Oryzias latipes: one gene and its partner. The protein of the gene in region 2 purifies or fractionates together with the protein of the main gene of each other region. This does not show direct contact. Links are inferred from orthologs where the notes say so. Each region holds a gene or a part of one and is shown on either strand. Other genes may lie near its edges.

The links. The genes of interacting proteins can lie anywhere in the genome.
Region 1: the proteins of mink1 (region 2) and nck2 purify together in Homo sapiens (affinity purification with mass spectrometry; 3 studies listed by BioGRID and IntAct, counting the BioPlex papers as one, with this or other methods). This does not show direct contact. The link is inferred for Oryzias latipes from reciprocal best matches to the Homo sapiens genes MINK1 and NCK2.

The regions. Positions count from the first base shown.
Region 1 is NC_019879.2:10,280,045-10,290,368, forward strand, and holds the start of nck2 (cytoplasmic protein NCK2), read left to right. Parts: upstream 1-4,581; 5' UTR 4,582-4,852; intron 4,853-10,324. UniProt on the Homo sapiens protein: Adapter protein which associates with tyrosine-phosphorylated growth factor receptors or their cellular substrates. Maintains low levels of EIF2S1 phosphorylation by promoting its dephosphorylation by PP1.
Region 2 is NC_019872.2:15,689,873-15,699,608, reverse strand, and holds part of mink1 (misshapen-like kinase 1), read left to right. Parts: intron 1-53; coding exon 54-161; intron 162-706; coding exon 707-793; intron 794-2,507; coding exon 2,508-2,684; intron 2,685-2,766; coding exon 2,767-2,931; intron 2,932-3,157; coding exon 3,158-3,424; intron 3,425-3,583; coding exon 3,584-3,663; intron 3,664-3,771; coding exon 3,772-3,875; intron 3,876-3,964; coding exon 3,965-4,056; intron 4,057-5,784; coding exon 5,785-5,808; intron 5,809-6,118; coding exon 6,119-6,270; intron 6,271-6,401; coding exon 6,402-6,519; intron 6,520-7,307; coding exon 7,308-7,424; intron 7,425-7,638; coding exon 7,639-7,750; intron 7,751-8,124; coding exon 8,125-8,274; intron 8,275-9,727; coding exon 9,728-9,736. UniProt on the Homo sapiens protein: Serine/threonine kinase which acts as a negative regulator of Ras-related Rap2-mediated signal transduction to control neuronal structure and AMPA receptor trafficking.

The DNA of each region.
Region 1 (10,324 bases), on a different chromosome or scaffold from region 2:
ACATTTTTTTTCAGTCTCCTGAAAGTGGAAATATTTCAAACATAGTTACAACAATATAACCTGAGACAAGAATGGAGTGGTTTGAATGATGCAAACTTGTATTTCTCTCTCAGATAATTTGATTTTGATTTCAATTAGACCGTAAAAAAATTAGTTCACTTTAATAGTGATGACTGAACATGTTCATTTGGTTGTTTAGTCAGTGTTGCTGTTGAACGGTTTCCCCGCCCAGTCTGGTGGTTTTGATTCTAACTTGGCGGGGGGAAATTGCTTTGGGCAGATGGACATTATTGAGGTGAGTTTGGGGTCTCTTTGGCAGTTTTAAGTTCCTTCCCACCCATACCACAGCCAGGTATGTGTGGGCAGAGGAGGCACGTCAGCCAGTACTTCACATGTAATCAGTCTCATCGTGAGTAACTAATGATAAAATAATAATATGTTCACTAATCTGTTCCTTAAACACAATTTATTTGACCTGTTTTTATCCTTAAAATCTCTGAATTTTGAGAATTTCCTGTTTAATTACAGCGCAGGCCGTGAGGTCATGGAGCACTGAGCTCTTCCTCACGGAGGATTGTGCAATCCCATGTTTACTGGGCTGACTGTGGTCGTTTTCTTCACTCAGCATACGCTGATAATTAAACGAGTTTTTTAAACAATTTTTTTTAGCATTGTAGACATTTTTATCACACAACCTAACTTTCCATTGAATAGTTAAATTTATTTCATGGTTGTCCTTCATTTGGTGTTTGGATCTGACACAAAGCTGCAATGAAATGGAACAAGGGGAGACAGAGCAAAACGACTGTGCTTGTTTTTGAGAAGTTACTATAGAAACAATAAATAATTTGTTTTATGAATACATAAATATTTTTGGAAGGATTTTTACTTTTGGTTTTGCACAAATTTAGGAAAATAGGAAATCATCAAATACTTTCTTGACCAATCAGGGAACGTAATTTGATGTAGCTTGAAAGGCTTTATTAACTCTGAAAATCAAATTTATTTTCACAATAACAGGTGCAAGACGATTTTTCCACTTTTGATTGTGATAAGAAGTTATACCAGAACCACTGGTATTTCATTATTTTTGTTTTTTTTTCCCCTTTCCTGCTTTTTCTTTCCTTTTTTGATTGTTCCTGGTGTTTGAGAATAATAAGGGTTCTTCAGTTGGTGTTTTTTTCATTTTTTATTTATTATTATTATTAAATTACTTGTAGTGTATGTAGATACACTCACTGGCCACTTTATTAGGGACACCGTGCTAGTTTCGGGTTTGACCCCCTTAGGCCTTCAGAACTGCCCTTGGTGGCATCGATTCCACAAGGTACTGGAAACATTCCTCAGACTTTGGTCCATATTCACATGAAAACATCACACAGATGCTGCAGATTTGTCGGCTGAACATCCATGATGCCAATCTCCACATCCAAAAGGTTCTCTATTGGGTTGAGATCTGGTGAGTAGAGGGTTGGGTAACCAAGTCCAGTTCTCTTATAGAGTCAATAGTTCCAGCTCGGAACTCACAACCTCCACCTCATGCGCCGGGCTCTATAGGTAAAGGAGAACCTCTCAGCTGATGGCCTGTCCAGATCGAATTGAGTTCTTCTTCCAGAGACAGATTAAATTATGCACCACACACACACTTCATTTGTTTAGTTGTTTAGTTGGATTTCAAGGTTTGCAGGTTCATAGAACTACTTTGGACCTGATGCAGGCACTCAACCCCTTAAGATGTCCTGGATGAGCCCCCACTATTCATGAAGCTCGGGAAGCTTTTAATTCCTTTTCACTCCATTTTGGATGTTTCATGGTTTTATTTTGTTTGTTTTTTACATTTTGTCCCATTTATCCTATAAACTTTATGTCAGAAATAAAATATTATCAGCACCAAAAACATAATTTTTAACTTTGACAAAGTGCCCATTTCGCACTTGGAGGAAAAAACTGATTCCAACCACAAAGAAAGGGGGAGCACCGAATTGGAGGATTTGGTAAACAAACTGTTTTCATTCAGAGGTTTTGCATTTCATGACATTCTCATTTTTACTTGTCTGTAGTCCAAACAATATCAAGGAGGGGCTGCAGGTTGTCACGTGTGTCATCACCTACAGTCAGGTGGGCTTCAGAACTGGTGCCTTTAAGCCAAAGTAAACATCCAGTGATGTAACCAAAGCTGTGCTCAGCTGCAGTCCTCTCAGCAGCTAGTCAGTGAGACGATGGGGAGAATAAGTGGAGTGGATCTAAAATGGAAGCCCTCCTGCTTTTAGCAGCAGCAGCAACCCAAGTGCTGACAGTCGTCAAACTCCACGAATGAGCCCGACTCGCCTCGTTTTTCAGTCTAAGAGGAGAATGTCATGAACGAATTCTGGAACATTTACTGCTCAGACCCTCTTATGTAATGTTGCAGATTGAGTTTTGCCTTCAATTCAGCTGTGAAATCCAACAATGCCAACCATCAGGGTGCTCACCATGCCTCTCAGCTCTTTCCAATTAAAGCTTGAGTCAGCTGTTCCAAAACAGGCCCAACATTAAAGAGGTCTTCAACAAAAAAGCATGCGCTTCTGGTTATTTGGCCCCAACTTGTAATTAAATTGATTTCTTGTGATCAAAACTTTATTGTATCGCCTCAATTAGAGTGTGTGGGTAAAATACGCAGAGCTGCTGGTTATTTTTACATTTAGTTGTGACAGTAACAAACATGAAGAAATGTGTGGAATGTGACATGGTTGTATGCTGGGATGTTCTGCCCCCTTGTGATTTAAACGGTACATCTAACAACCATAGCCAATTTTACACACACACACACACACCCATACACACACACACACACACACACACACACACACACACACAAACAGTCTTTTGATTTTAGTAGTTTTTCATTTATAAACTGTTTCAGATGAAAGAATAGCAAAGTTCTGAAAAAGACTAACATTTTTTATGTCCTGTGTTTTTGCCTTCATCGCGCATGAGCACAATTTTTCAGCAACGATTCTTATATTTTCCATGATGACTGCCATCTTTTATGGTTTAACTGAAGAAAATTTGACTGCATTAGATAATTCATAATTTTGAAACACAGCTTTTTCACGATTAAATTGTGCAATTTTGCACCTTTCGTTTGAAGAATGTATGAGGAAGGTTGCCTCTATAGCTTCATTTTAATTTTTTAAAGTATGTCTTTTAAACAAATTAAGATTTTTATTTCCTTTACAGTAGCAAGGAAATGCGATCTACATGAATAACAATGGACATGTGGCTTAATCGTCTCCTATTTCTCGCTATTATCGCCAAGGGGCGACATATTCCTCCACAATCTGTCCATTTCCCTCTGGCGTTGTCCTGTTCTCGTCCCGGGGTTAGTGACGTCACAACCAGGACCGGGGATCAAGCTGAACGTGAATATCAGAATCAAACCGGAAATTGAGGCGGAGTCCTAACAAATAAAAGCAGGCTCGATTTAACAAAAAGATTCTGAAAGTTAGCATGAAAAAAGGAAAATAACCAAACTAAGGTACGAGTAAACTATAAACAACATCAGTTCACCAACAGACATACATGTAATTTTACATGTAATTTATATGTAATTTTACATGTATTACATTTAGGCCTGCAGCCTTGCTTCAATGACCATTAGGTAAATACACTTCTGACCGTTAGCAGTTGGTAAATAAAAGATTTTTTTTTTACGTTTTGAATTGCATACTCATTTACCCACATCACAAAGGATAAAGTGTAACCATAGAGCAAAACAAAACAAAATACGATTTTAAATGGATAGGGATTGACCAAAAAAGTAACTTGTTGATCTTTCTATTTTATTTAATTCTTATGAAAATTTTTCTGGATTAAATATTTGTTGTTTGATGCCATCATATGGACTTCAAAAGAAAAGAAAATAGTAAACTACATGGAACTGCTGTTAGCGAAACTGCTGAAACATCTGCAAAATGATAAAAAACACCTACACTTCAAACACATATACCGTTAAACTGTGAAGAACCTCTTTTTAGATGTTCCTCACCCAGACAGATATTGGCAAATGAAAACACATTAATTTAAAAAAAGAATAGAAAGAATAAATGTTTCTGCTAATATTCCACATTCATTTGGTTTCAAAGTTTTCTCTTCCTAAACATTCGTATCATCTTTTCTTTACATTTTTGTATGCTGTTGCTAAGATTTTCATTTTTGACATTTAAAATAGGTCAAATAGACGACAAAACACCTGAAGAAGTACAAGTTGAATATGTCTAAAAATGTACTATTTCAAAAAAGAAAAAAGTTAATTATATATTAAATAAAGATAGTAGTGGTGAATAGACAATAAAGCAATAATAGTACAGTGTACATTTTTGTTTATCACAGGCATAAAAATGTGGAAAAATGCACACGTTTGTTATCATGAACAATATTTAACCATATTTAATTAAACTGTGTTTTCTGACTGCATTTAATATTTTTCAAATTTCTAATATGTAATTTTAATTTACTTGTTTTTGCAAAAATTGTACTTTTTAATTGAATTTGCCCTGTTCAAACCTAGCTTTATTTTGAAAAATCGGAACGGAAGTGAAGAAGTGTGTATCTCCTAGCTTGAAAGGAGGCTGATCGAGGCGGAGGCAGTCAGCCTGCGACGGAAAAACAAGCGACAACACGTCGAACAGTACAGGTTTAGTCAGTGTTTGAAGAAAGAAAATGAGATAAACCAGAGGAGATGAGGACTTAAACGAATTTTTTTGTCACTTTGACGAGGGTTTGGTCACTTATTATTGTTGGACCCGCGCGCGCTATCCCTGTGCTGTGACGCTTGTCTGCCCATTCTGACTGGAGTGAACACTAAGGTAAGGTAAGCCTGAAATACACAACTGTGTGAGTTGCTTCTGCTTACATTACTCTTTCCAGCTGCGCGTGCCGTAGATTGAAAGGGGTTTTATTGGTCTACAGAATTATGTGTGGAGGTTTTCCTCCGTAGTGGGAGTGGGAGGCTCGGAGTGTCACTTTCTCGCGTTGAGACGCTTGGTCTTTGTCCACTCTGACCACAGACTTGGCTCGAATCTCGCTCCAGTGTTCGCGAACCACTTTTTAAACCCCCACAATTGTATAAATTTGTTTAAATTCCCACACTTAAAATCATCAATTAAAATGTTCACTAACAACATTTGTACTTTTTCGGTTAGTAAATATTAGAGGGGCCTGACTCACAGACCATGGTCGGTGGTGGTGGATTCCAGGCTGTGGTCCGGCTTTGTTTAAAATAGTTTCTTTTAACTTCAGTTCTACAATTTCGTACTTTTTTGCGTGGAAAACAATTTCTGCCATCATAGGTGTTTGGTTGGTGTGGTTCGAGATCCTGCTGACAGCGCTACGGCTCACACAATGAAGCACACTTGCCAAAGAAGCAGCAGAAATCGGCCGGGCGCCTGGTGCCACATGCCGAGCTTGTCAGTGCTCCTAGCGGCCGTTGGTGGGAACTGCACCATGCTGTCGCCTCATCAGCCCCTGTGGATCAAAGGACGCCTTGTCTGTTCTCTCACTGACTTGATGCTGGATATTTTTGTACATTTTATTTTAGATTTAGAATTTGGGTTTTCAGATTTAAATCCAGGTGTTTAAAGGTGCTGAAAGTTCTTGCGTGGTTCAGGTAGACTTGTCACACCTACTGCAGACACACCCTGTGCAAAGCGCTCTCCCGGTCTACAGTCCGCACTGACAGGTATGAGGAAGGAGGCTGCAGGTCCTGTACTGCAGAAACTCCCGTTGCATCATTTCCTTGGAATTCGATACTTGGAGCAGAAATGTTGTTTTAGAGATGAATTTCCACCCCCCTCTATGTTTCTGACACCATTCTCCCTGTCAGCTATTAATAACTCACTCTGATGAAAACTGTGGAGTTTTTTTAATATGTTCTTGTTTTTTTTTTTCATGAGGGAGGACATACATGAAGAAAATTTAGATATAAAACTGCATTTATGAGTATTTCTTTATTCAGATCGTTGTGAATCAGGAGCCGATGAAAAATTACTGTCGGAAAAAGCTTGTTGCTTTGACGTAGGCGTTTACAACGGCAAGCCACAAACTCCCTGCTCTGCTCCATTCTGATGCCTCCACTAGTACACGACTGTGCATCTTCGTTGACCTCGTCTGAGGTGGAATCTGGCTCAGAACTGTACGGCTGGATAGCTGCAATATTGCCCGCCCTTTTTGTGAAACCCCTAACGTTAGGTTGGGATGTGTGAGGGGCTCTAAGCTAGCGGGAGTTAGTGTAAACAGATAGATGACGAGATGTGGGGGTGGGCTTTCTCTGTGTGCCCACACCTCAGAGGCAAATTTCTGATGAACTCCTGCCACTCTGCATAACTATGTCCTAGAAAACGACACAGATTTTTTGATTTTGGCTAAAAAGAGCATCATCACGCTTTTACAGTAGATCAAAAGATGATCAGAGTTTGACTTTAAGCTATGTTCTCATCGCCCTCGGCAACATGTTTTTCAAGCAGACACCTTCGATGAGAAGTCTATGTAAACACTGTTTTATGGGCTTTTTTGCTCAAAACTCTTGTGTTCATGCCTGGCTACGCAAGTTTTTATGACAATGAACACGCGTTGGAAGTTAAACCAGGTCGAACTTTGACCAATCAAGGACTTGGATTTTGGAGTGACATATATATGGTTTCCTTTGTAATTCACGAAAGTGCCAACGGTTTGAAAGTTGATCATGAAGGAGGAATTAATGATTGTGGTTTGTGCCCGGCTGGAATTCTGGCATCAAGTCTTTAATATATTGGAATATAGCTGTCAAAGAAAAGACAAAAAAATAAAACCTGGAGCAAGATTTACCAGATTTGACTTTTTGCACCAAACCTTTTCTAGTACATGGTAGAAAAAGAAAAAAAAAGGGTACTTTAACATGCATTAAATGCATGGTGTGTATTAGAGGTCCAACGGATCACGGATGACCCTTGATGACCCCCCCCCCCCCCATTTAAATCGATTGTCCGTTCAAACCAAAGACAATTTGTGCGTCAAATTCAATTAATTTGAGTTAAAATAACAAAAATGAGTTTTTTACAAATACATCATATTGTCAACAATCACGATTTTGAATATGTGATTTAGAAAAATGTAAACAATAATTACTGTATTCTACTATGGATGTATTGTGAAGCTTCTAGGAGTGTGAATTCTACATTTAGGTTTTAAATATTGTTTTCAGAATTGCCTATTTTTATTCATATATTAAATGGATCCGTTTTTTAGTTTTTAGTCGTTTCTTTTAAAACAAACCCGATCTTTCCTGTCATCTTCTTAACCGTTTATTCCCTTTCGGGGTCACGGGGTTGCCGGAGCCTATCCCGGCCACTTGGGCGTAGGCAGGGGATACCCTGGACTGGTCGCCAGTCTGTCACAGGGTAGAATATCCTCAATCACACATCCATTCACTCTCACACTCACACCTATCGACAATTTAGAGTTGCCAATCAACCTATGTAGCATGTTTTTGGACAGCGGGAGGAAGCCGGAGATCTCGGAGAAAACCCACGCATGCACGGTGAGAACATGCAAACTCCACACAGAAAGGTCCCCCATCTTTCCTATAAACCAAAAATCAAAAGTACATTGGAGTAGAATATTACAGTATTTTCAGAACTATGAGCGTACCAGATTATAAAGCGCTCTATTTTTGAACTTTTTGTGTTATATAAGGTGCATTAAGGAAGACAATAGAGTCACAGTCCGTTGGTTAGTCAGACTTTTTTAACTTTGTTCACAGTTATTCTAGAACTCGTTCGTAATCCGCTCTGGTAGAAACTTTAGACATGTTATTGTATTCGCAATACCTCCAACTTCCGATCTTATTTGCAAAACGTAAAAAAAACAGACTATTTACTCTACGCTAACTCCCAACCTTGTTAGTAACGAAAAAAAAAAATATTACACCGCTACATATTAACTGAGTTGGCATGATCATAATAACACCCAACTAACCATTTTATAAGGGTACCTCACAAAATCGCTTTAAAATCAGTATCAGTATATCTAAGGTGTTTCAGATAATTTTTTGGAAAAAAATTAAGGTTTTTAAGGTCACCATATAGTGTAGAAAATACAGTAGTCCAATATTTTCTTCCTCCCATTTTCTGATCTAGCTCAATTGAAAGTGTAATTGTTTTCTACCTGCTAAAATTCTTAGGTCTGTCGGAGAGATGAAGGAAATATAAAGACTAGATTACATGTTAGTATTGGTTTTGAGATGATGTCTTTTTCATTGTCAACGTGATCATTTATAATAAGCGGAATGGGTTATCACACATCCAGTCTAACTGTATGTACCACAGCAGTCTGACTGCATGTAGACTGGTGGTACATGCAGTTTTGTGAAAGCATTTCCTTTTATGTGACCCTGGAATCTATCAGGAAAAGAGGGTTCATGCTGCTACCAAGCAGAAGCAGACGGAGCGTGGTGTGTGGTCTTCAAATTGAAATTGTTTGTTTTACTTCTCTTCTTCCTTTAGTTTGCTTAAATCTTCTTGGGTTAGCTTACTGCAGCACGTATCACCAGATAGAAATGCACAAAAGACAATCCTTTTGTCTTTGCTGTCAAACAGTTGCAGGGTTGATATTTGGGTTGAAGTAAATCATTAATAGTAAATGTAATTACATTACTCGTCTGTAAAACTTATGTTCAACCCATGTTCCTATAGAGAAGAGGTCTGGTGGTGGTTCCTGTGACTCAGTGCCAGGCTGCAAAACAGGCAGCAAAAAAATAAATAAATACATAAACTGAATAACTGCAGTCTCTAGGTCCTGTGACCCATATCATCACTCTGCCTCTGCCGTGCTCAACACAAATGTGGCAAACAATAACTTTCACCATCCTCACTGACACCTGAGATGCTTAGGTTGTACAGTAGTTAGGATTGTGCCGATACCATCGTCCATCGTGAAGGCTGACTGACATCACTATGGAGAGACACCATCGTGATGCCACGCCCCCGCCACGCTGCGAGTCGACACCATAAGCCGCAGTTACATGTGCAAAATATCTTAATCGGATCAATGGTCGGAATAGAATTCAACCGTGTACATGGGCCCAGAAAAACTTTTTCATATTATAACAAACGTTCACATGGGTCACACTTTCGGTCGGAATAAATCCTTCGCACATGCGCAGAAGTGTTTGAAATACCGGAAGAAGAAATGAGTTCTGCTGAGAGGCTACATACCTAGTAGGCCTGCACAATATACCGCACATTTATCGTTATCGCGAAATCAAGCTGTGCAATATGCATACCGCAAAAGACGGCAAAAATCGCAATAAATTATTACCTTAAATGTGCTAAAACAAACTCATGGCAGCTTGAAATATTGAACAAAAGAAATAAATCCCTTTATGCATTTAACCAATCAGAAGGACCCATTTACGTTGTTGATCAATCAGATGAGCCCTTTTATGTTTGATGTTTGCCTCCTATGTCGACAAGGGTCATTTGGAGTATAATTTTTAAACTGTTGCAGTGAAATGGAAATTATGTTTTTGTTTTTTTTGCTATTTGTTTATATACCGCAATTTATATCGTTATCGCAATATTAATCACCAATATCGCATATCGCGAGTTTTCCTCATATCGTGCAGCCCTAATACCTAGATATCTGGCTGCTCTGTAATATATGAGATGATCTTCTAAACATTCTTTTATTATCGTTATGGTTATTATGAAGCGCATGTTCGCTCATCATTTTAATTTTAATTCGTGTGGTCAGTGCTTTTTCTGTTGAAGAACGGAGCCAGAAGAAGCCAGGGCTAAGAGATGCTAACACGGGCTAATATCATTTAGCCTTTGATGAACATAAATCAATGCAGAAATGCTGCAATCTGCAGCTTGGCTGAACGTAAATATGTGGGAATAACATCAGGCTTTATTTTGTCGGGACATGACTAGAAACACAAATTCATGTGATTGTTTGAACGATTTCTAAGGACTGAGCGACATTTCTGCTTTGAAAAGTTCAAACACCGCCCCAAAGCCGCTGTGTGAGCTGACGGTCCGCGCTCTGCCTGGACCTACACTTTTACCGGAAGACCCGGTTCTCCTGAGTTCGGTAGCTCGTTCACCTAGAGCTGTGGGAAGGATCGCAGTCCGAAGTCTCCCACACATAGCGCACATGTAACAAAGCATCCTCCCTTCCCATCAAACACAAAGTCTGACTGCTCTGCTCAGAGACACGGTCGCTCGGTCCACCGGTCGACTTGACTAATCAAGTGCAGGAGCGGACTATGTCTTTTCTATTTTTTTTTTTTTGTTAAAGTCACCTCCCT
Region 2 (9,736 bases):
AAGCAGACTAGTTTCCTTTGTGTAATTTCTCTTTCCTGTCACCTCTCTCCCAGCAACAGAGAAAGGAGCGAGAGATGGTGAGGCAGCAAGAAAAAGGTCCCCATCGGAGAATTGACGATATGAGACGGGAGGAAGATAGAAGGATGGCTGAGAGGGAGCAGGTAACCAACTGCAGGGGACACGGAATCTGTAAGCAGCCAATCACCATGAAGTTAAGGCGTGTCTTCCAACAATACGGCACAAGTTGCTCTGGTGGTGAAATTCCATCAGTGGGTTGCCATAGCAGCAAAGGCCTAAATTAGTGTATTTACTGAGGGTAGAGGGGTTTTTTTGTGCGGAAGCTCTTGCAGGGTCCTCTCAGTCTGTACTCAGAGCACCATCTCCTTTTACTCCTACACACCTCATCTTTGTTTCCTGGGCGCCCCACTAATGTAAAATGTTTCAAATCTCAAAGTCTGCTTATCTTCATTTTATTTATTTAGATCTGCAAGTATGTGTGTAAACTTAGATACGTTGCCTCTTCTAAAAAGCATCTGCACCTTTCCTATTATGTAATTAATAATGACATTTAATCAAAACATCTCATGCTACATTTTACAGATCTTGCATAACGCATCATTCCAGCTTCTAAACAAATCTGGCACTCCTTCATTTCTCCTGTCATCACCCTAATGAGCACCACCTCTGTCTTCTTACCTTCCTGCAGGAGTTTATCAGACATAAGTTAGAGGAAGAGCAGCGGCAGTTAGAAATCCTACAGCAGCAGCTGCTTCAGGAGCAGGCACTGCTCATGGTAACTACTCCCTAATGTTTGTTTACAGTCATAAGCTTGGGTTTATGATTATTTCACCAATAACAGTTAATCAGTCGGGACATAAACATGCTGTGTTTAATACATTTAGCTTTTATTTTAACTTTTTAATGTAATGTGATTTTTTTTTTTAAATATTTTATTTGCCATATAATCTGAAATGAATAAAGATAAACATCCCTACATTGTCATAAAGTGTGCAGTAATGGTTATTCTAATCGGTAGATTGGAGGATGTGGATGTACATTACAAGCCATTAGTGCTGCTCACATATTATTGCAGATATTTTAACATATTTAATGACCTAGATTTCCAGGTGAGTTTAGGCGCTTTGCAGCCTTCAGTTGAAGCCTAGATTTCCCGCATTTCCTGTGACTTCTCCGTTAGTTTCCTACTGTAGAATGTACTGAGGTCATAATTAACACTGAGGTCTATTTCAGTTTTACAGAGGGATTATTGACTCTATATGTAGAACACTTGAGGCACTTAAAAGTGCATTCACAGGATTCCTGAGCTAGGCTTTATGGGGGCAGACAACAGGGTCAGTCACAGGGCAACCCCCCTGTGGAAACTATGAATGTTTAAAGGCTACATTTTGCAACCAATATTCTCTGATTCTACTGCAGTTTAAATCCTCAAATCTGCTTTCAACTAGAAACTAGCAGACTGCCTTTGCCTCTAATTTTTGCCTTTTATTTAAACTGTGGCAGCCTTTGCAAAGCTTGTAGTGATTCCAGTGCAATATAGTGGCAAATAAAAGTAATTCTAGGTTAAAATAGTTTTGGGAGTTCCAATATAGGTTCCTTATGATGCACAAATGTGTGTTGTGTTTTTACCAGTTATAGAACAACAGATTAGCTCTGTTTAAAGTTGCAGGTTTACATCCAAATTATTTTTTGCTTTTAATACTTAATACTGGGACCAAAGGCTTATTATGGAGACCAGTGTGTCGCGTCAGATAGGTTTCTGGAGTATGAGGTGTTTAACACAGGCTGGGGTATCTATGTGTAGCAGAAGTAAAGGCTTTGATGGTGCTGCTGGCAGTAGATGGGCCTCTTCTCTGGCTGCACCATGCTAGGACTACACTTTGTCACAAAGAAATCTTAATGCAGCCACTTTGGTCTGCAGAAAATTGCATTTTCGCATAAAATGACAGATGGAAGAGACATCTTGAGCAACTTTCAGGCTTCCTAGAGTTGTGGGGTTATCCATTATATTTAAGGACACACTCACTCTTAAGTTGGGAACCAAATCCCCAATCAACTGATGGGCAGACGGCAGCTTAAACCCATGGATCTGCAGCCACCGGATAGTTGCTGTTTGCTGCTGATGATGCTATTCGTCATTCTTCATTGAGTGCAGACCTCAATAATGGTGGCAATATAATTTGTTTATGATTTGAGATCACCTTTGCATATTAGGAAAAACTAATTTAAAGTTTACTGTATGTTTTTTTAACACTTTGCAGAAAGTTGAATTTTAACTTGAGGTATTCAAGTTATGACTATTTTTGTTTGCCAAAGGCTGGAAGAGCAGAGACCTGGTGACAAAAAGTCAACAAGTCAGCCGACTTACCTCATGCCAATCAGCAAAATGATGACGTTTTGTCAGAAATTGAACAATTATATTTGCCCCATGTGATGTTTTTTGTGCGTCCACTGTCCTTTGATTGTGGCTGTTTTTCTTTTTTGTTCAGGAGTATAAGCGCAAACAGCTGGAGGAGCAGCGCCAGTCAGAGCGGCTGCAGAGACAGCTGCAGCAGGAGCATGCCTACCTGGTGTCTTTGCAACAGCAGCAGCAAGACAAGAAGCCCCAGCTTTACCACTACAACAAAAACTTGGAGCCAAACAACAAACCTAATTGGGCCCGAGAGGTACCAGGCTGGGCTTGGTTTAAGTCACAGCGCCCTTCATGACGACACACTGTTGACCTTTCTTTTCACCGTCCTGTTCTAGGTGGAGGAGCGGAGTAAACTCAACAGGCAGGGTTCACCCAAAATCTGCACTACGGTCTCTGACACTAATATCCAGTCGCGTGCCGATTCTATCAGCCAATCAGGATCGGTTGCTCAGACACCACCCATGCAGAGGCCAGTGGAACCTCAAGGGGGGCAGAGCAAGGTTTGTGCTTATTGTGAAAATGCATGGATCTACATTTCTGCCTCCTAATTCCTCAGTTGCTTTACCTTTGACACTTTGCTTCTTTTTTTCTTTTCCATGTCTGTTTTCACTTTGTTCCCTCATTTACAAAATCCCCTTCCAACAAAAACATAACTGTGTCTTCTTCCCCACTTTGATGTCTTCCTGCGCTCTCACTTGGCTGCACCTCCCTCCTGGTCCTCTGCAGTTTCAGATGGCTCATTTGGTTCCTCTAAAGCCTTACGCTGCCCCTGTTCCTCGCTCTCAGTCCCTCTGTGACCAGCCCACTAAGAACATGTCCGCATTCCCCACTCAGGATCCTTCCCTCCTCCCCATACCTCGCCCCAACCACTCCAGAGAGCTTGTACGTCAGAACTCCGACCCCACCTCTGAAACCCCCGCACCACTTGCACATCAGATCAGGGAGGAACGTGGCCCTTGGATTCGTTTGCCAGATGTAGAGCTTCCTCCAAAGGTAGCATCCTCTGACTGGTTCCAACTGGGCATGAGATTACTCGGCTGTACAATAACACAAGCTTTGAAACCTCACATAATTCCTTAACAGTTTTGCTTTTTTTACACAAGGTATTGTTTTTAAAGACCAGTTTCATATCTAAAAATATAACATTTTCAGGTCCCTCAGAGGACAGCATCCATTGCTACAGCTCTTAATGCCAACCTGACCTCTGGTATTAGGCACCCGGTGAGAGCCAGGTACCAAAGACACTCAAGTCATTACATTGATCTTTATCCACGTTAGCACAGTTTTTAAATGATGATGACTATTACTGACTGCTTGTGATTATTGTATCCTCATGTCAGCAATCCAGATCTCAGCCGTAATGACCGTTGGGAGAGAGGCGACAGCATGAGCATCATTTCCAATCTGCCACAGACGGGCTCTCTGGAGAGGCATCGCATCCTCAGTGAGTCGCTGCTCCCCCACAGCTCTTCCTTCCTTCTCAGTATCAGAACTTCTCACTTAGAGCATTCTGGATTTTCTTTTCTTTTCGAGGTTCTTCTAAGATGGATTCGCCCATGCTTTCTCATGAAAGCCGCCATAGGCCAGGGGAATCTCGAACTTCCTCTCGCCCTGGGCGCCCTGCTGTGAGTGCTTCTTTCAGACAGTATTACATAGATAATGTGTCAATGCTTCTCTTCTCATGACACTGACATTACCAAATGGTTGTATATCTTATATTAACAGCTTTAACGTATTTTAACCCTTACTTCACATAATACATCACGTTAAGGGGAAGCTTTCTTTATAGTTTAAAGTCCTTTTTTCCCTTTACTCTGACCAAAACTGAATGCTTGGATTTGTTTAGATTTTTTACATTTTTTATGTTGCCTTCTTTGAAGTCTGAGCTCCACAAATGCTCATATTACATTCGTTTTGTTCTGAGGGTGAAAGTTGCTAAAAATCAAAGAATAAAAACAAAAGTAACAAAGTCTCACAGGAATGAAGGATTAGATGTGAAAATAGAGGTTAATTCAAACCTTATTTAAATAATTTTATTTCCTTCAAAGTAAATTAGTAAACGTATTGGTTATTGGACCAGAAAAAAGGGGATTGGATAAAGTGCCAATTTTTATAACTTGTCTTTGTCTTTTCCCAAAATCATTAAAAGTAAAAATTTGGCAAGAAATTGAAGTAATAACACAAAAGTTGGAAAGTAAAACTAGAAGTGACTAAAACACCTTTAAAAAAGAAAGTAAACAGAATCAAATCTCTAAAAACCAAAAAATATAAGACATGAGCTGAGTTTGTTGTGTGAACTTTTTAAAGTGTCAACCATGTTAGCTTTTCCACCCAGAAATAAATGACATTTCCAGTTTTTAAAAAAAGCTACACAGGAACCCCCCCCCCCCCCCCCCCCCCCCCCCCGCGCCTCTCTTCCATGTGTAGTGATGCGCAGCCAAAACATGAATCACCTCCCCTGTCCATCTCCTCGTCTTAAGCTTTTGTCTGGACGTTCAGACACGAGTTTGTCTGTCAGCAGTAATGTTTGTACTTTCAACTGTTAAGGTTAAGTGGAAAATCCTTTTCACAGAAGTGTATTATAAAGGATAAACTATATTTAGACACTGCCAGTTAAAAAACATCAATAAAGTTTTGGGAGGGCATTCAATTTAATGTTGACTATTGTAAAGTATCTATACTGAAACTAAACTGTACTTTTGATAGTGAAAATATCAATTATGTTTAGATTTATTCAAAGCTGCAGAAATGAAGCATAAGTTGTTGATGTAATGGTTGAAGTCGGCTCAAAAAATACATAATTTACTTCTGAAGAAATAAGTGAGAGCAGTTCATACGTTGTAGGAATTCTAATTGATGAATGGGCCTTAAATGTGTTTATTTCCTCTTTATTTACTCTGTGAACATTTATTTCACTTTGGATCCATTTACTATTGACTTTTCAGTTAATTTCATTTTTTTATATTTTGACTTTCTTGTCAGCCTTCGATAAGCAAGTAATGGCTAACAAATGTTTAAGAAAATGAAAACTGGAGCAATTAAACCATCAAAATAAAAAAAATTCATCTGAATTTATTTAGGCACTTTTAAGAGTTCACATGCTGGTATATGTGTATCTAAAGTTGTTGTTTTCTTCTTGTGACTTTCACTGCTGAGTGTTATGTAAAGACTAAACACTAAAAAGAAATTGTTATAAAATATCTCATGTTTTATGTTAGTGTTCTAACACTGATAATGCTGTTTATCTCAGTTTGGATAGCACTTTAATGAAACAACAAACACTGGTATCATTGCTCCTCATGTTTCTCCCTTTTTTTTAAATCTCTTTGGTGATTTTTACCTTGAATGTCCAGAGTTACAAGAGGGCTATAGGGGAGGTTAGTAACTCTGGCCTCTCTTGGTGTATGTTGTTGTGTGTTCATGCATGAATTTCTGTTGTGCTACTTGACCGTGTGATGTTCAGAATAGGTGAATGGCATGCTGTACAGTGTTCTCACTTGTCATTTTACTCATGTTTGAGTTTTTTACATTCAGTGAATTGAAGGACTGCACCTTTTGTCAGTTTGGTTCCGTTGTCTTGAGATTGTTGTCCGTAATGTTGTTTCATATCAATTTCTGTTGTTTTGATGACGCTCAAAGCTGCTATGAATGAATTCATAAAAAAAATGCTACTGAATGGGTTTGCAGGACCACGGCCTCTATGCCAAGGAGCGTGCTGAAGAGCCCCCGAGGCCCCCAGTCAAGGCCAATGATTACTCCTCTTCCTCAGAGAGCAGTGAGAGTAGTGAAGAAAGCGAGAGCGGTGAAGGACCAGAGGAGGAAGAAAGTCCAACAGATCGGTAACACATCTATTAAAATGTGAAAAAGTCACAAAACAGCTCAACCTTCACGACACTTTTTTCAATTTAGCTTCTTTTGAAAGCGTTATTCTCCTTGCAGTTCAAAGGTCTGTTTTTCTTTTTTGTTTCAGCCACAGAGACGCAGACACTGATTCAGTCAACACCATGGTTGTTCATGAAGACGAGGCTGAGGGGGGAGAAGGAGATCAAGCTGGAGGATATGGGGATCAGACTATGCTGGTGCAGAGAGTGAGTCATCCCTATGCGTGGGGATAAATAAAATGTGTTATGTTATGATTGAAATCTGGTTATAATGGAACATTTTGTTGCATAAAATTGTATGGTAATCAATATTTGATCCATATCTGTACAAAGTTATTTTTGTTTGATGGAGAAATATTCATCTTTTGCTAAATGCTCCATCCATTGAGTTCTTTTCCATTTAAACCTGATCAATACACTGAAGCATATGACTGTTCTATTAAGAAAACTGTTTCCATTGAGCAGATCTTCAACAACGTTTCCTTAAATTTTGAGACCTTACATTTTTTAAGACATTATTTCATTTATACTTTTAAAACGAGTTGCACTTGTTTTTGTTCGATTTTATCAAATGCTGAGGTGATCTCAGGTCTCACGTGTTTAGGTTTGGGTAACCTAAACCCCAATAATATTTAGCACTATTTTTTTTTTTAGAATCCTTTTGACTTTTTAGTAAAAATAATCTCCTCCGTGGTTTTGTGTTATTCATGCAGACCAGTAAAGCTGTTCTAAAAGACGGGCAAATATATTTTCCAATGGGACTCCAGATGTTATTTTTGGTTATGGAAAGCAGCTTTTGCATGAATTCATTTTCAGTTACTTGTTGTTGTTAGAAATATAAATTTCAAAATTAATTGAAAGCTCAATTTATTTCATGAAATTTGCCAAGCTAAACAAGTAAAGGCCTTACAGACATTTCTGTAAATGATTATCCTAGATTTAGGTCATTGATGTTACTGATCTGCATTATTGTGTGTGTGTGTGTGTCTTTGCAGACCCCAGAGAAGAGGAATCACAATGGATACACAAATTTGCCAGATGTGGTGCAGCCTTCCCATTCCCCCACTGACTCAGCCTCTCACTCCTCTCCGGGGAAGGACTCAGTTTATGACGTACGTTTACTGATTCTAAGTTTATCTGTCCCTCATTTTAGCTCAATTTTTATATATGTGTCATGTATGCCATCACTTCTCCATAAAATCTACCTATTAGTGGTCATGAACACATCTATTTAAATATGTTGGGAAATAACAGTTTGAAAATGCTTCCAACTTGATGATGACTTGAATAAAACCATAAACTCATTTAGCTGCTTTTCTCCACCAGTATCAGTCCAGAGGTTTGGTGAAAGCATCAGGCAAGTCCTCCTTCACCACTTTTGTGGATCTTGGCATGTACCAATCACCAGGAGATACAGGGGATACCATGTCTATCAGTGGTGAGTCAGAAGGTCATATCCTCTGAAGAATTTGATCTTTAACCCCTGAAAACTCCAAGCACCCATTTTTGTGGTTGTTATTGCTTATTTACTTTAGCATAGTTTAAGGTTTGTGTGTTAAACAAGATAGCTTTTTCCAACAGTTTGTAGTTTTATTTATTTAAAATATTTGAATTTGAGTAAATTATTGAGTTTATAAACATGTGAAACATTGATGGATTAAAAGTTAGCTATTATTCATGTCACTGTGCTAGATTGTTGGTTAAAAAAAAAAAAAGCAATCAGCTGGACTAGGTTGATCTCATACCAGCTGAAGATCCCATTCACCCTGGTGGTTTCCATCCTAGAAACCTATTTTTTCTCTCTGTTTTCAGACTCCAGGTTCGAGCAGCTAAAGATGGAGGTCAGGAAAGGATCCATGGTTAATGTGAATCCCACCAACACACGCCCCCCCAATGACACACCAGAGATCCGCAAATACAAGAAGAAGTTCAACTCTGAGATCCTGTGTGCCGCACTCTGGGGTGAGAACACATTCAATTGGCATGTGTCATTTAAAAAGACCACAGTTTAAATATCAACACTGATGAGTCTGCACCAGAATTTATTCTCGCAGACCAAACACACAAACTTTCTTTCTTAAAATGAGGTACTCTGTTTTTGCAAGTGAACCCCGATATGGTTCACCTACAGTTTGAATGGACTTTCTAGCAAACCCAGAGCAGAAAGCGATAAAAAACCACAGATGTATGTTACAAATGGAGTTAAAAAAGCATGTTAAAACGGTCCACAGTATGAACCTAAAGAAGCACATCTCATAAACCGGAAAAACATGTAGTATAGTAAAAATGTATATGGGGTTTGGGCCAGTCAGGCTTCTAAAAGCAAGGATTCCACTGAAGCTGTCAGAGGGACTTACTTGCAAGCTCTTTTCTTATCATGGTCAGTGCTCGTTTTTGGTTGTACCATCCCTAGATGTTTAGCTGTCGTTACCATGTGACATTTCCTGATGGTTCTGTTTGCTTCTGTGTAGCAAACAGAACCAAGGAAAGGGGTAAAAACCTTTGAAACAGGTCCACAAGAATATTTTAGTGGAACTTGACACGGAAAACGGTGGTTTATCACACCACTCATCTTTGATGGTCTAGTTTAAACAGAGCTGTGAGGGCACAGTGCCTTGTAATGAATGTTTGTGGCATTTTTGTACACCATGACATGCATTTTGAAAATGCCTCCTTTACAGTTCCAACTGATCATCTTTTGATCTATTGTAAAAATATTTCCAGTGGTCTTTTAATTATGATTATGCTGGTTTTAGCCAAAATTAAGAAAATTCTGTGTCATTTTCCAACACATAGTTTCTGCAGAGCAGCAGTAGTTCTTTAGAAATTCACCTCTGAGTTGTGGGCGGGGGCATTGGCGTATAGAAAGCCTGCCCCTACTTCCTGACATCCGTCTGTTTACAGGCTGCAAATGGGACCAAATGTTAAATGTCAACATGAATGTAGAAAATTGAAGTGGGATTTCATTTAGATAAAAATAACACCAGGGGTTATGATGCATTATATTTTGTCAGTGACTGTAAAAGAAATAAAGATGTTCAAACCCACTTTGGGCCATTTTAAAGCTGATAATTAAACAGTACCTGTTGATTAGAAAACTGATTTATTTACAAAATAAAATTTGATTCAAATTATAGGACTAGATTATAAATCCTTTTGACTTTTTTGTAGAATAGAATTTGATTACAGACTCATGGTCCAAATGTCAAAATAAATAACAAAGTCATAGAGCAGAATTAAAATACAAGTAAAACATAAATTATAAACTTAAAACGTAAAAGCTTAAAAACTTAGGGGCTTAAAATGGCGTCCACACCTGTACTTCCACAAATATTTTTGAAGTTGACTTGTTTTACATGAAAGTTTTAGATGAAGACAGAAGGAATCTGAATTCAATCAACCTCCTTGTCTCCAGGTGTAAATT